Linked DNA regions of Xenopus tropicalis. The protein of the gene in region 1 purifies or fractionates together with the protein of each later gene. This does not show direct contact. Links are inferred from orthologs where the notes say so. Each region holds a gene or a part of one and is shown in the gene's direction. Other genes may lie near its edges.

Region 1 (3,655 bases):
TCCGCTCAGCTCAGAGACAAGCAGAGAAAACACAATCTGTCCTGTAACTTTTTTTTCTGCCTCACCAAATTGTGCTTAAATCACGTCTAGTCAGTGAACATACAAGTCCACATTGCTGAGATTTATGGGGCAATGAAACAAAAGATGGGTCTGAAACAAACCCTCCTGCCCCGACCTCTGAATGTCTTATCATTCCAAGACTTTGCAGGGGGGCAAGCTGCATGGTTTAGTCTAAAGCCACTTAAAACGTGTTACTTAATAAGATTACACTGCTCAGCAATAATTTGAGACTGCCTGTAGAGCCCAGAGCACACGTTTTGCATTCACTCTGTGGGTTTAATGTGTCTGGAGCTGGGCTCTTTTCTTTCTTTGGGAGATGGAATCCTTATTAAGTCGGAGAGCTGGTTCATTTAGATCACAGGTTCCAATTACACTCAGAAACGAGCTCCCTTCAACGCTGTTATTTTATCACTGACATTTAAATATACCCTATTAACTTTCCCTCTAAAAGACAAGTACAGAATAACAAGTGTGACTGCACTGGTTTCAGAACAGCCCTGTGCCCACATGAAAGTATATGTGTGTGTGATATATAGATATAAATGTAGCTACTTAATAAATAATGTCTATTCAATATCAACGTTTCGGCTGACAGAGTCTTAGTGAGCATGAAGGCTTGCTGTGGTTATTCTATGTCTATATATATATAGCAGTACATGAAATGGTTATGCAAACAGATATTACATTTATCAAAATGCCATCTCTCATGTGTCCCTTTTTTTGTACTTAAATGCAGACAAATGTGGAGATACAATAAAGATCACGAATCCCAGCTACCTTACTTCTACTGGGTACCCTCATTCATATCTGCCATCCCAGAGATGCGAATGGTTAATTCAGGCCCCGGAACAGTATCAGCGGATCATGATCAACTTCAACCCTCACTTTGACTTGGAAGACCGGGAGTGCAAGTAAGTCGCAGATTTTTATAAATCAGGGGCGCCATCTACTGGCCAAGTGTCGGCAACTGCAAGCGTTTTCTGCTTCCGCGGAGCGTTGCCAGTGAGTGTGTGCGTATGTATGTGTGTGTGTGTCTGTATATATGTGTGTGTGTCTGTATCTGTCTGTATATGTGTGTGTGTGTCTATGTGTTTGTGTGTATATGTGTGTGTGTGTGTGTATGTGTGTGTGTGTGTGTGTGTGTGTGTCTGTATATGTGTGTGTGTGTGTGTGTGTGTCTGTATGTTAGTGCGTATATGTGTGTGTGTGTATGTGTGTGTCTGTATGTATGTGTGTGTGTGTGTGTGTCTGTATGTGTGTGTGTGTGTGTGTGTCTGTATGTTAGTGCGTATATGTGTATGTGTGTGTGTCTATGTGTTTGTGTGTATATGTGTGTGTGTCTATGTGTGTGTGTCTGTATGTGTGTGTGTCTGTGTCAATGTGTGTGTGTTTGTGTGTATATGTGTGTGTCTGTATGTGTGTGTGTGTCTGTATGTACGTGTGTGTGTGTCAATGTGTTTGTGTGTATATGTGTGTGTGTATGTGTGTGTGTGTCTGTATGTATGTGTGTATGTGTGTGGGGGGGGTCACTGGCAGACTTCTCCTCATTTGGGGATCGGGGTGTATATCAGATCATTTGCTGAAGGCACTTATACTAAATCTAAACGTTCGCTGGGCTCACACTAACCTGTGTTAATGATGTTGTTAACAGGGCCTGGCCTGGTTTTCATCTCATTTATTGGCCTGTTCCCATTTCTTCCCCCCAAATCCTAGCGCTGAGCCCTATCCAGAGACTGAGTCCATTTCTGCGCTGCCAAATTAGACTGAAAGCTCCATTTACCTACTGAGTCGCTTTTCAGTTCTTTTTATGTATGAAATCTGTGTGCTGAATACACCGGGCTAATGTACAGTGCTGTGATATATATTGGCCATTTATACATATATGTTCAGAACAATAAATCTGATCTACTGGTGGAATTGTTGTACCTTTTGGTGGGAGGGATTTCCCAGGAAATTCCAGGTTACAATATACAGATGGAATTTCTTGTGGCTTCTGGTTTTGGAATGTTAGCCTTTGTGCCAACTCACTGGCTGGGAACATGGTACTGTTGTGCATCAGGTGATCCATAGTGCTCCCATTATCAAATGGCTGTATAGTATCATGGTGCTGTTCTATAGCAGCTTGCAGTTGGTTGCTTCTTTAACTTAAACTGCAACCAAGGTGGCATGCTGGGAGTTGTAGTCCAAGAACAGTGGGGGGGGGGGGAGAGGATGCCCAAGTGCTAGACCTTTATAACAGGCATGATATATATATATATATATATTGTTTATCTTCATGGGGTTTTGTGGCCATTCCTTTCACTTCCAGGCAATTGCTGTGGGTATCCTGTGGGATTTTTGGAATTTCTTTGGTGCTAATGGCTTTCCTTGGTATTCCCAAGGGGATAGGGCTCTTGCTGACTTGTACGGTTCAACCTTAACTCCTTCTGTGCCAGATGAATTGTGTTTAGTCTAAACATTCCAAATTACATTTTAGAGGCAACCTTTAATCCAAAAATGAAATGTTGCCCAATGACAGAAAATATAATTCTTAGTAATTTTCCATGATATATTCATTACACAATGCAATGGATTTAAAGTCATGTGTAAATACAATTGCTATTGAAAGCTGGGTTCCTTTAACCCTTCCTGTTCTCATTTGAAACAATGTAAGGCAGGTCTGTCCCCTGGGTCTGTTAATCAGCTGGCTTCTGCTACAGATTTCAATTGCAACTACAATCACAACTAACGTTAAAAGAATTGAATATTTTTTGAGTTTTGGGGTGGAGTTGCCCTTTAGGGATGTTCCATCATCTGCTGTGAATCTCAGCTCCCAGCATCCTCTGCTAGCCGGGACTACTGGGAATGGTAGCTGAGTGGTTGTGCGTCAATAAACAGATTTGACAGAACCCAGCGAATAGATTGCAAGGCAGGGAGTCATACTAGTGGGTCGGTACTGGGTGGGGAAATTCCAGGCGAGCCGCTGCTTAACTTCTAATTAGCCCCTAATGTTTTCTTTCCTGGAAGTGCTCTATTGGGCAGGAGATTATAGACTTACTCATTTGGGTTTAGTATAACTTGACATAAAAGGAATGGAAGTGAACAAAAAGGGGTCATATAAGCCCCCCCCCTACTGCCCCTCCCCAAATATAATTCCCAGACGTCTGTAATCTGGTTCTGCTGTTTGCTTTTCTGGGTCGGCAGCCAGAACCTAGAATTACGGAGCTTTAATCTACTTACCTTTTGTTTATAATTGCTTGTAATTTAGGGATTGATTCTGAAAGATGTGTTTTTATCTGTTCTGTGCCAGCAGCTAGTGCCATTAGCAACTGCCAATTTACCCCTTTAAAACTGCACACATCCGACCCATATTTTGTATGGCTTACTAGAAATGGATGCATGCTGCAGCCTACACTGATTTCTGGGCTGCCCTGCCTTATGCATTCAATATAATTAGCAGCTATGCAGTTTGATTCTGCTCAATGAACAGGATAACCATAGTCCTTCAACCCAGCTGTTTCAAAACTACGAATCCCAGCATGCTGAGGGGGTCTCTGGAGGTTAGTGGCCAGCGATATATGAAAGTGCATCTCCTTTTTAAGTGTAGCACAACTCG
Region 2 (3,655 bases), on another chromosome or scaffold:
TCTTTTATTTATTGTTTAGTATTTTTCCCCTTTAATTAGACAGCCCCATATATATACCCCCTCCCCCCAGTCATACTTTTATTAAAATATAAGGTATCTAATTGGTTGCTACCAGGTAACATTATTTTTCATGTCTGCCTCTAGTGGCACTAGTTAGCATTGCAGCCTCATTGGGTTTCTGGCTTTGTTTCTAAGCAGGGTGCTGCCTATGGATTTTCTTCCCGCAGATCAAAACATAATCGTCTTCTGATGAGAGTGAAGTGTGTGGTTCTGCAATAGGAAAATTAGAGTGTAAGCTCCAGTGAGGCAGGGACTGATAAGATTGCCCATTCTCTGTAAACCCTGCGTAATGTGTTAGCCCAGTCATAGTAATGGTTGCTTACTGGTTCCAGAGCTTGTCTCCAATCATTCAGCGCATGTTTTTTTCCACGCTTGGTCGGTCAGTGAAATGTTAATGTTTTTTTTTTCTATTTCTACAAAGTGTAAGAAATCCTAAGCAGTCTGATTTGAATTTCATATATATTTTTTTTCTTTTCTGGCAGGCGTACTGCGAAAGAGATCCGCTGTAAGACTCCGCAGGGACCAAGCACGGGTAAAGCCGAAATACAAATCCACATCAACCGCGCCACACTGTACAACTCTGAAGTGCATTACAATTACACCGAAGATCCAACCGTGCAAAAGATAGAACCAGAGTGGAGCATCGCCAGGTAAAAACCATCCTAATCCTGATGCTTCTTGTTAAGTGATGCAACTGCAGATGTGTAGGCCTCATTTTGTCCTTTCTTTGTTTTGCCTTTCCTGCTTCTTCCTTTGCTTCCTTAGCTTTCTCCTAAATTACGTGTATACTGGGAATGGTAAAGTGTTCTGATTGCAAAATATAGTATATTAGTGCCCATTTAATAAATATTCTCTGGCCAAAAGGATGAAAGAATGTTGATCCAGTCTTTGATCCCTGGGCAAATGATGCAATCATAATTCAGGATGCCCCAATATGTAAGCCAATAAGCTATTGGATAGGTCTGAAGGGGCTGAATAGGCAGCTTTTATTGGCCAGTGTTAGGGCAGTTTAAATCAACCAAACAAAACAAAATGTATTTGTATGAACTGTTCAACCGTTTGCCCTTAAATTCATACAGGCTACATGTCTGCCCCTGGTACTAATAGGTATTACTAGCTGGCCAGAACTAAGTTGTGCATACTGTTTTAATCACTTTCATATATTTGGAGGTATGAAAGTAATTAATGGGAGGTGTGACTGGCCCTTTCGGCCTGCAGGGCAGATGTTAATACTGTTGGACCATATTGTGCTGATAATACCGAAAGGCCAGTGGATATATCTGTTTAATCTGACTAACCATCCCTGTTCTTGTTCTTTTTTTAGCGGGGGAACCCCTCTCATAGTAACTGGGCTGAATCTGGCAACTATTAAAGAACCCAAAATAAGAGCAAAATATGGAGATGCAGAGAGAGAAAATGTGAGTATCAGAGCAAGTTAAGTTGGTTCTGCTGCTCTTGGTGATTGGTTGAAACATGGCATTGGTTGTGAGATCTTTTGGCAGGGTCCTTTTTCCATCTAGTGCCAGTTTATCAGTGGCCATTTTGTATATAATCTGTATGTTCAATGTATACCCATTTATTTTACAGTTCAAGGGGGTATAGTATGTTGACCCTAACTGGCCTTATTGTAAATATGGCAGTTATGTAAAAGGGTTCTTAGTGAACATTAGTGTACACTCCTAGTTACAACCAAGCTCACAACTTAAGGAAACTACTTTCTGCACAGTGAGATGGCAAAACTTTGGCTTCATTCCTACGTGAAGCTGTGTCTTGCTCTTAACTGGCAGTGGGCAGCATCCTTTAATCTCATATAAACACCCAGTCTGCTGTGCATTTCATCAGCCTTACAATAGCAAGTCAGGAGCTGCTTCTGTGCAAGAGTAGGAAAGTAATGGGGACCCTGCCAGCACTGCTATGTACCAATCACACTGGCTTTTTATTGTATTGCGGCAAGCCTTTCTTGCTACCCTGCCCACACAGAAACTAGTTTAACCAGAGATATCTGCCTAAGACTGGCGATTATTCATTATAATTAATGAACTTGGAGGTTTTTGTTTGCTTATTCTTCAGTGACACTCATGCCATCATGTCTTCCTTTCTAGAACTGCACTGTGTACAATGACACCACCATGGTGTGCTTGGCTCCCTCCGTTGAGAATCCCTTGAGGAGCCCGCCAGAGAATGGGGACCGTCCTGATGAGATAGGTTTCATAATGGACAACGTTCTGGCCCTCCTTATTGTGAACACTACCAGCTTTCTGTATTACCCAGATCCTGTGTTTGAGCCACTGACGGCATCTGGAAACCTTGAGCTGAAGCCTAGCTCTCCTCTTATAATCAAGGTTAGCAGGAGCTTTTTATATATTAATGAAGGAACCAGGGCATGGATTTCTACTAGCCTTGCTACTCCCAAGCTACACCTTGATCTGTACTGAAGGTATAAATCAAAGCCGCTTAGTGTTTCTCTCTCTTCTTTGTAGGGTCGGAATCTCATTCCAGCAGCCCCAGGGAACTTCAGGCTTAATTATACAGTGTTGATTGGTGACACACCGTGTGCCCTTACTGTCTCTGAGACCCAGCTCCTGTGCGAGTCTCCGAACCTTACTGGACAGCACAAAGTCACTGTAAGTGTGGCATAGACTGCCTATATATCACTGTTTGTCATTATAATAATGTTCTTAAAGGCATAGGGGGAGCAGTTTTGATATATGTGCAATAAATTCTACATTGTTTAAAAATGCCATACAGAAATAGGAATAACTGAAAAAGGAACTATGTCTACACATTCCTGTCTGCAGAAACATCAACCTTTCTGTCCTTCATGCCTGTAAATTTAGTTGTATTTATAACACAACTGTACCACAAAAGCATCATAAACTCTGTATGAAAGACTCTATATGTGCCCTGTAGGGTCTTCTACAGTTGCTGTTTGCGCAGATGTTGACCAATTAAGCCAGGGCTTAATATCAGATATCAAAGAAGAAAAGACTCCATGTTGATATAGTTTGGTGCAACTTATCACTGTAAACCTTTCCATGACACTAGCTATGATACTACATAGGCTATTTGTCCATCCCAGGCAGGCAAACAGTGTTTGTCCTAGTCCTACCCATAGTACCTTGTTCCTAGCTGGAGCTTATTGTATTGGATAGGGGCACTCAGAAGAAGAGTATTGATTGGCTGATTGGTGCAGACTCTGCCCATCCACGAAAGCGTCATGATTCAGATATTGGCCCTAAGGTCAAACATTTGGATAAACCTAGTTTAGCCAGGGAGGGTCTTAGGTTGCTGACCCCAAGTACTTACCCAGTTTACATGTATCTTGTGTGTATCTGTGGCATATACCCTAACCAGGCACTCATCCCTTATGTCTCAGATTAAAGCCGGAGGGTTTGAGTACTCACCGGGCACACTGCAGATTTACTCGGACAGCCTGCTGACCTTGCCTGCCATCATTGGAATTGGAGGAGGAGGTGGTTTGCTCTTGCTCATTATAATCATTGTGCTTATTGCCTACAAGAGGAAATCGCGGGATGCTGACCGTACCCTGAAACGGTTGCAGCTGCAAATGGACAATCTGGAGTCCCGTGTGGCA
Region 3 (3,655 bases), on another chromosome or scaffold:
ATTCTGGGATATCCGCACTCGGCTCATTATTGACCTCTGCCCCAGAATATGAAATAGATTGTTCTTTAGTCAACACTAAAGTTGTGTTGGATGAAAAATTGTTGAGACAAAAATTATTTTTGTGTTAAAAATTTGGACATATACAATATTTAATATTTCCTGATGAAAGAAAATATAATTCTAAATAATTTTCCAATCTCCACCACTCCATTTCCCGGAAGATCCACAAGATTCTTTTAATCAGCTGGCTTTTGCTACATTGTTTCAGTAGTCAAACCAGCAGGACAGATACCTGCAAGGGAGACACAAATCCTGCTTTCAATACTAGTTATATTTACAAATAACTTTAAAGCCACTGAATATTTTTAATGAATGTCATTTGGAAACTTGCTTAGAATTACACTGCTATGTCCTGCTGTGACTCCCAGACTGGTTCCTACCTATGGGCACATTAAGTGTGTGTTCCATGCCATGCCCTTTTTGTGCAAGTACAGGTATGCAAGAGTTAACTCCATTCTTCTCCATGGGGGCTGTACCAAGAAGAGCACCCTGCAATGCCATTATCTTTACCAACAACATTACAAAGCAAGCATACCCTTGCAAGAACAAAATGACTATTTGCATTTGTTAACATAAATTATTTTTTACTTGACAAGTTCAAGTTGGAAAAGCTTTAAAGGTAACACATTTGTTCTTGTAGGGGACAGAGACCTGTGAATTGGTCGTGGCCAATAAACCACAGCAACAGTATTAATAATCGCTTATCTGTCAGTGAGTGCAATGAAAGTTCCTACTGTCTGACGCTCACACTTACCAAGGTTGTAGCCAATGACAGCGGGATTTACAAGTGCTACTACGAAGACAGTAATGCTACAGCCAGTGTTCGTGTCTTTATTCGGGGTAAGTGTCTGCTTATTATACTGCATCTTTACTCGATATAAAGCCACATTTTTTGGATACTGTAACAAAACATGCACTGTGTTTATTGCAAAGTTTACCTTTTGGGAACATTTCCCCAACTAGTCCCTATTGCCAACTATTTTCTCAGCAATTGTCTCCTGATAAAACTGGCCACAGTGTGTTTGTGTGAATGAGAAAAGGGCTTAGATTGTAAGCTCCACTGGGGAAGGGAATGATGTAAAATCACTTAATATAATAATAATGCTAATAATTCATGAAAAGTTATGTCTAAGTAAGTATTTTTTTTGTTTTTCAGATGAAAGGTCTCCCTTTGTGCCTTCAATAAGTGAACAACTTCTTGCTGTTTATATCACAGAGAATAAAACAGTGACAGTACCATGCTTGGCCTCTAAACCTGATCTGAATGTCACACTGTGTGCGGTAAGAAAGAGGAAAGCTTGGGGGTTTGGTCTGAAACTGGTTCCAGTCCTGCTTAGGTATTAGGTTAGTGTCAGTCTGTGTTGTAAATAGGCCAAGACTGATAATCAGAATAGGCTCTGGCATTTCAAGTACACAGAGGCCCAAACGGCCCCCACCAGTCCAATAAATAGTGACTTTGTATGGCATCTTACAGCATCCCCTCTGGCATTTGCCATAATCCATGTCTGGTTGTAAATGTATTTGCTGTGTATGTGCAGGTTTAGGATAGTTGCAGGACACTGTGCCATACCTATCATTTGTCTAGCCACTGGCACCCCCCACCAGTGCGACTGTATTGGCCTGCTGTAGATCTGCACTGTAAATCTAAAGTGCTTTGTACATTCTGATTTGTTATGCTGTGATTTTTTTTCAGAAATATCCAGATTCCACATTTCATCCTAATGGTAACAGCATACACTGGGATCACAAAAAGGGATTCACCATTTTAAGTGAATTATTAAAGACTGTGAGCTGGGTCTCCTGTGAAACCAAGCTCAATGGAGAGGTCTATAGATCACCTTCTTATTTTGTATTAGTTGTAGGTAAGAAGATTTTTTATTAACGTATTTGCACTATTACAACAGTGTGCCATACTTTTATGAGTATGAGTTGTACCAGTTTAGTAGTGGGGATTGTCTTAGTTTTGTATAATGTTGTATTTAAAATATGTAATGAAAAGGCTTTTAATGGCATTTGTTTATAGTTCAATGATACAGGGCCTTATTTACGGAGAGATGCGTAGTACACAATTTTGTAATTGCTGCTATGTGCAAGGAATGCTGCAATATGGATGCAGTTCATCTCCCATTTGTAAAGTTGCATGCATTTCATAATGGGCATCAACACGGGCCCTTAATATGCACAACTATAGCTTATTATGTACCTGCAATATTCTCTTTTTGCTTCAGGTTTTAAGATATACAGCCTGTCCATGAATCCCCATCCTCAGGTTCAGCTGGCGGTTGGAGAGAAACTAGCTTTAACGTGCACTGCTCATACTCCCCTAAATGTGAGGGTTGACTTTAAATGGGACTATCCTGCAATAATGGTAAGTGCAATGTTCCTGAAAATGCCATCTTCTTACTTATTTCTCACTCAATTTTTGCATGAGGTTTTACATTTTGACTTTAATGAAATAATATTAAGTCAAACTTAAACTCTTATTCTAGGAGAAAAGTGCAGAGACCAAAGGGCTCAAAAAAGAACTTCATGGGGGACTGGAACTTTCAGGGATCTTTATTATCGACTCTGTTACATTGAAAGACAGAGGCAACTACAGCTGCACAGCATACACTGGCCTCATGTCAAAGACCAGCAGTACAACTGTGATTGTACATGGTAAGGTTTTTCCAATAGTCTTCATATTATATTTGGCATTCCTCTTGCAGTCTCTTGGACGCACTTATTATAGCCAGTTGGGGCTGGCCACATATTTCCTGAAGCCCCAGTGAATGCCCTGCAGCTCTGTGTGTCAGATACAGAGCAATATGACTACACATGTACATAGCTAAATTGCACAGGTTTGAGGCCACGCACATAGAGAATTTATAATATTGTTAAATTTGTTAAGTAGGGCATGGTATAGCAAATGATTAGCTGTGTGATATCAGCTTATATCACAGGGGGGCGTAGAATTACAATTTGAAACGGGCCCCAGTGGTCCAGTTGTGTGATGGACTTGATGTACTACATTGACTTTAATTAGAAAGGAAAAGAGGAGTGTTTATATAGCTCTTCTTCTGTGGCATTTGTGGGTTTTCATGCTTTAAAGAAATCAAGGTAGACAGCAAAGGTGCACTATGCATATTGGGATACCAGGACATAACCATTATGGAATAAACTGAATAAAAATGTTTATCGCATTACAATTTAATATGAAATATGAATGAAACATTTGTGCAGATCTTATAATATTAGTGTCTAGGTTTGTAGGTCATAGATGGGCCGGGCTGCATAAAAAGGCATACAGTATATCTCAAGCCAGTATTATAAATATCAAAATAGAAATGGGTTTTCATGCTTTAAAGAAATCAAGGTAGACAGCAAAGGTGCACTATGCATATTGGGATACCAGGACATAACCATTATGGAATAAACTGAATAAAAATGTTTATCGCATTACAATTTAATATGAAATATGAATGAAACATTTGTGCAGATCTTATAATATTAGTGTCTAGGTTTGTAGGTCATAGATGGGCCGGGCTGCATAAAAAGGCATACAGTATATCTCAAGCCAGTATTATAAATATCAAAATAGAAATGTATGCCCTAC

Evidence for each region.
Region 2: the proteins of nrp1 (region 1) and plxna1 purify together in Homo sapiens (affinity purification with western blotting; 4 studies listed by BioGRID). This does not show direct contact. The link is inferred for Xenopus tropicalis from reciprocal best matches to the Homo sapiens genes NRP1 and PLXNA1.
Region 3: the proteins of nrp1 (region 1) and kdr purify together in Homo sapiens (affinity purification with western blotting; 7 studies listed by BioGRID and IntAct, with this or other methods). This does not show direct contact. The link is inferred for Xenopus tropicalis from reciprocal best matches to the Homo sapiens genes NRP1 and KDR.

The regions. Positions count from the first base shown.
Region 1 is NC_030682.2:22,722,573-22,726,227, forward strand, and holds part of nrp1 (neuropilin-1 precursor), read left to right. Parts: intron 1-796; coding exon 797-971; intron 972-3,655. UniProt on the Homo sapiens protein: Cell-surface receptor involved in the development of the cardiovascular system, in angiogenesis, in the formation of certain neuronal circuits and in organogenesis outside the nervous system. Mediates the chemorepulsant activity of semaphorins.
Region 2 is NC_030680.2:134,127,286-134,130,940, reverse strand, and holds part of plxna1 (plexin-A1), read left to right. Parts: intron 1-542; coding exon 543-710; intron 711-1,384; coding exon 1,385-1,478; intron 1,479-2,162; coding exon 2,163-2,402; intron 2,403-2,540; coding exon 2,541-2,684; intron 2,685-3,436; coding exon 3,437-3,655. UniProt on the Homo sapiens protein: Coreceptor for SEMA3A, SEMA3C, SEMA3F and SEMA6D. Necessary for signaling by class 3 semaphorins and subsequent remodeling of the cytoskeleton. Plays a role in axon guidance, invasive growth and cell migration.
Region 3 is NC_030677.2:40,295,386-40,299,040, reverse strand, and holds part of kdr (vascular endothelial growth factor receptor 2), read left to right. Parts: intron 1-700; coding exon 701-900; intron 901-1,216; coding exon 1,217-1,341; intron 1,342-1,753; coding exon 1,754-1,922; intron 1,923-2,288; coding exon 2,289-2,428; intron 2,429-2,549; coding exon 2,550-2,718; intron 2,719-3,655. UniProt on the Homo sapiens protein: Tyrosine-protein kinase that acts as a cell-surface receptor for VEGFA, VEGFC and VEGFD. Plays an essential role in the regulation of angiogenesis, vascular development, vascular permeability, and embryonic hematopoiesis.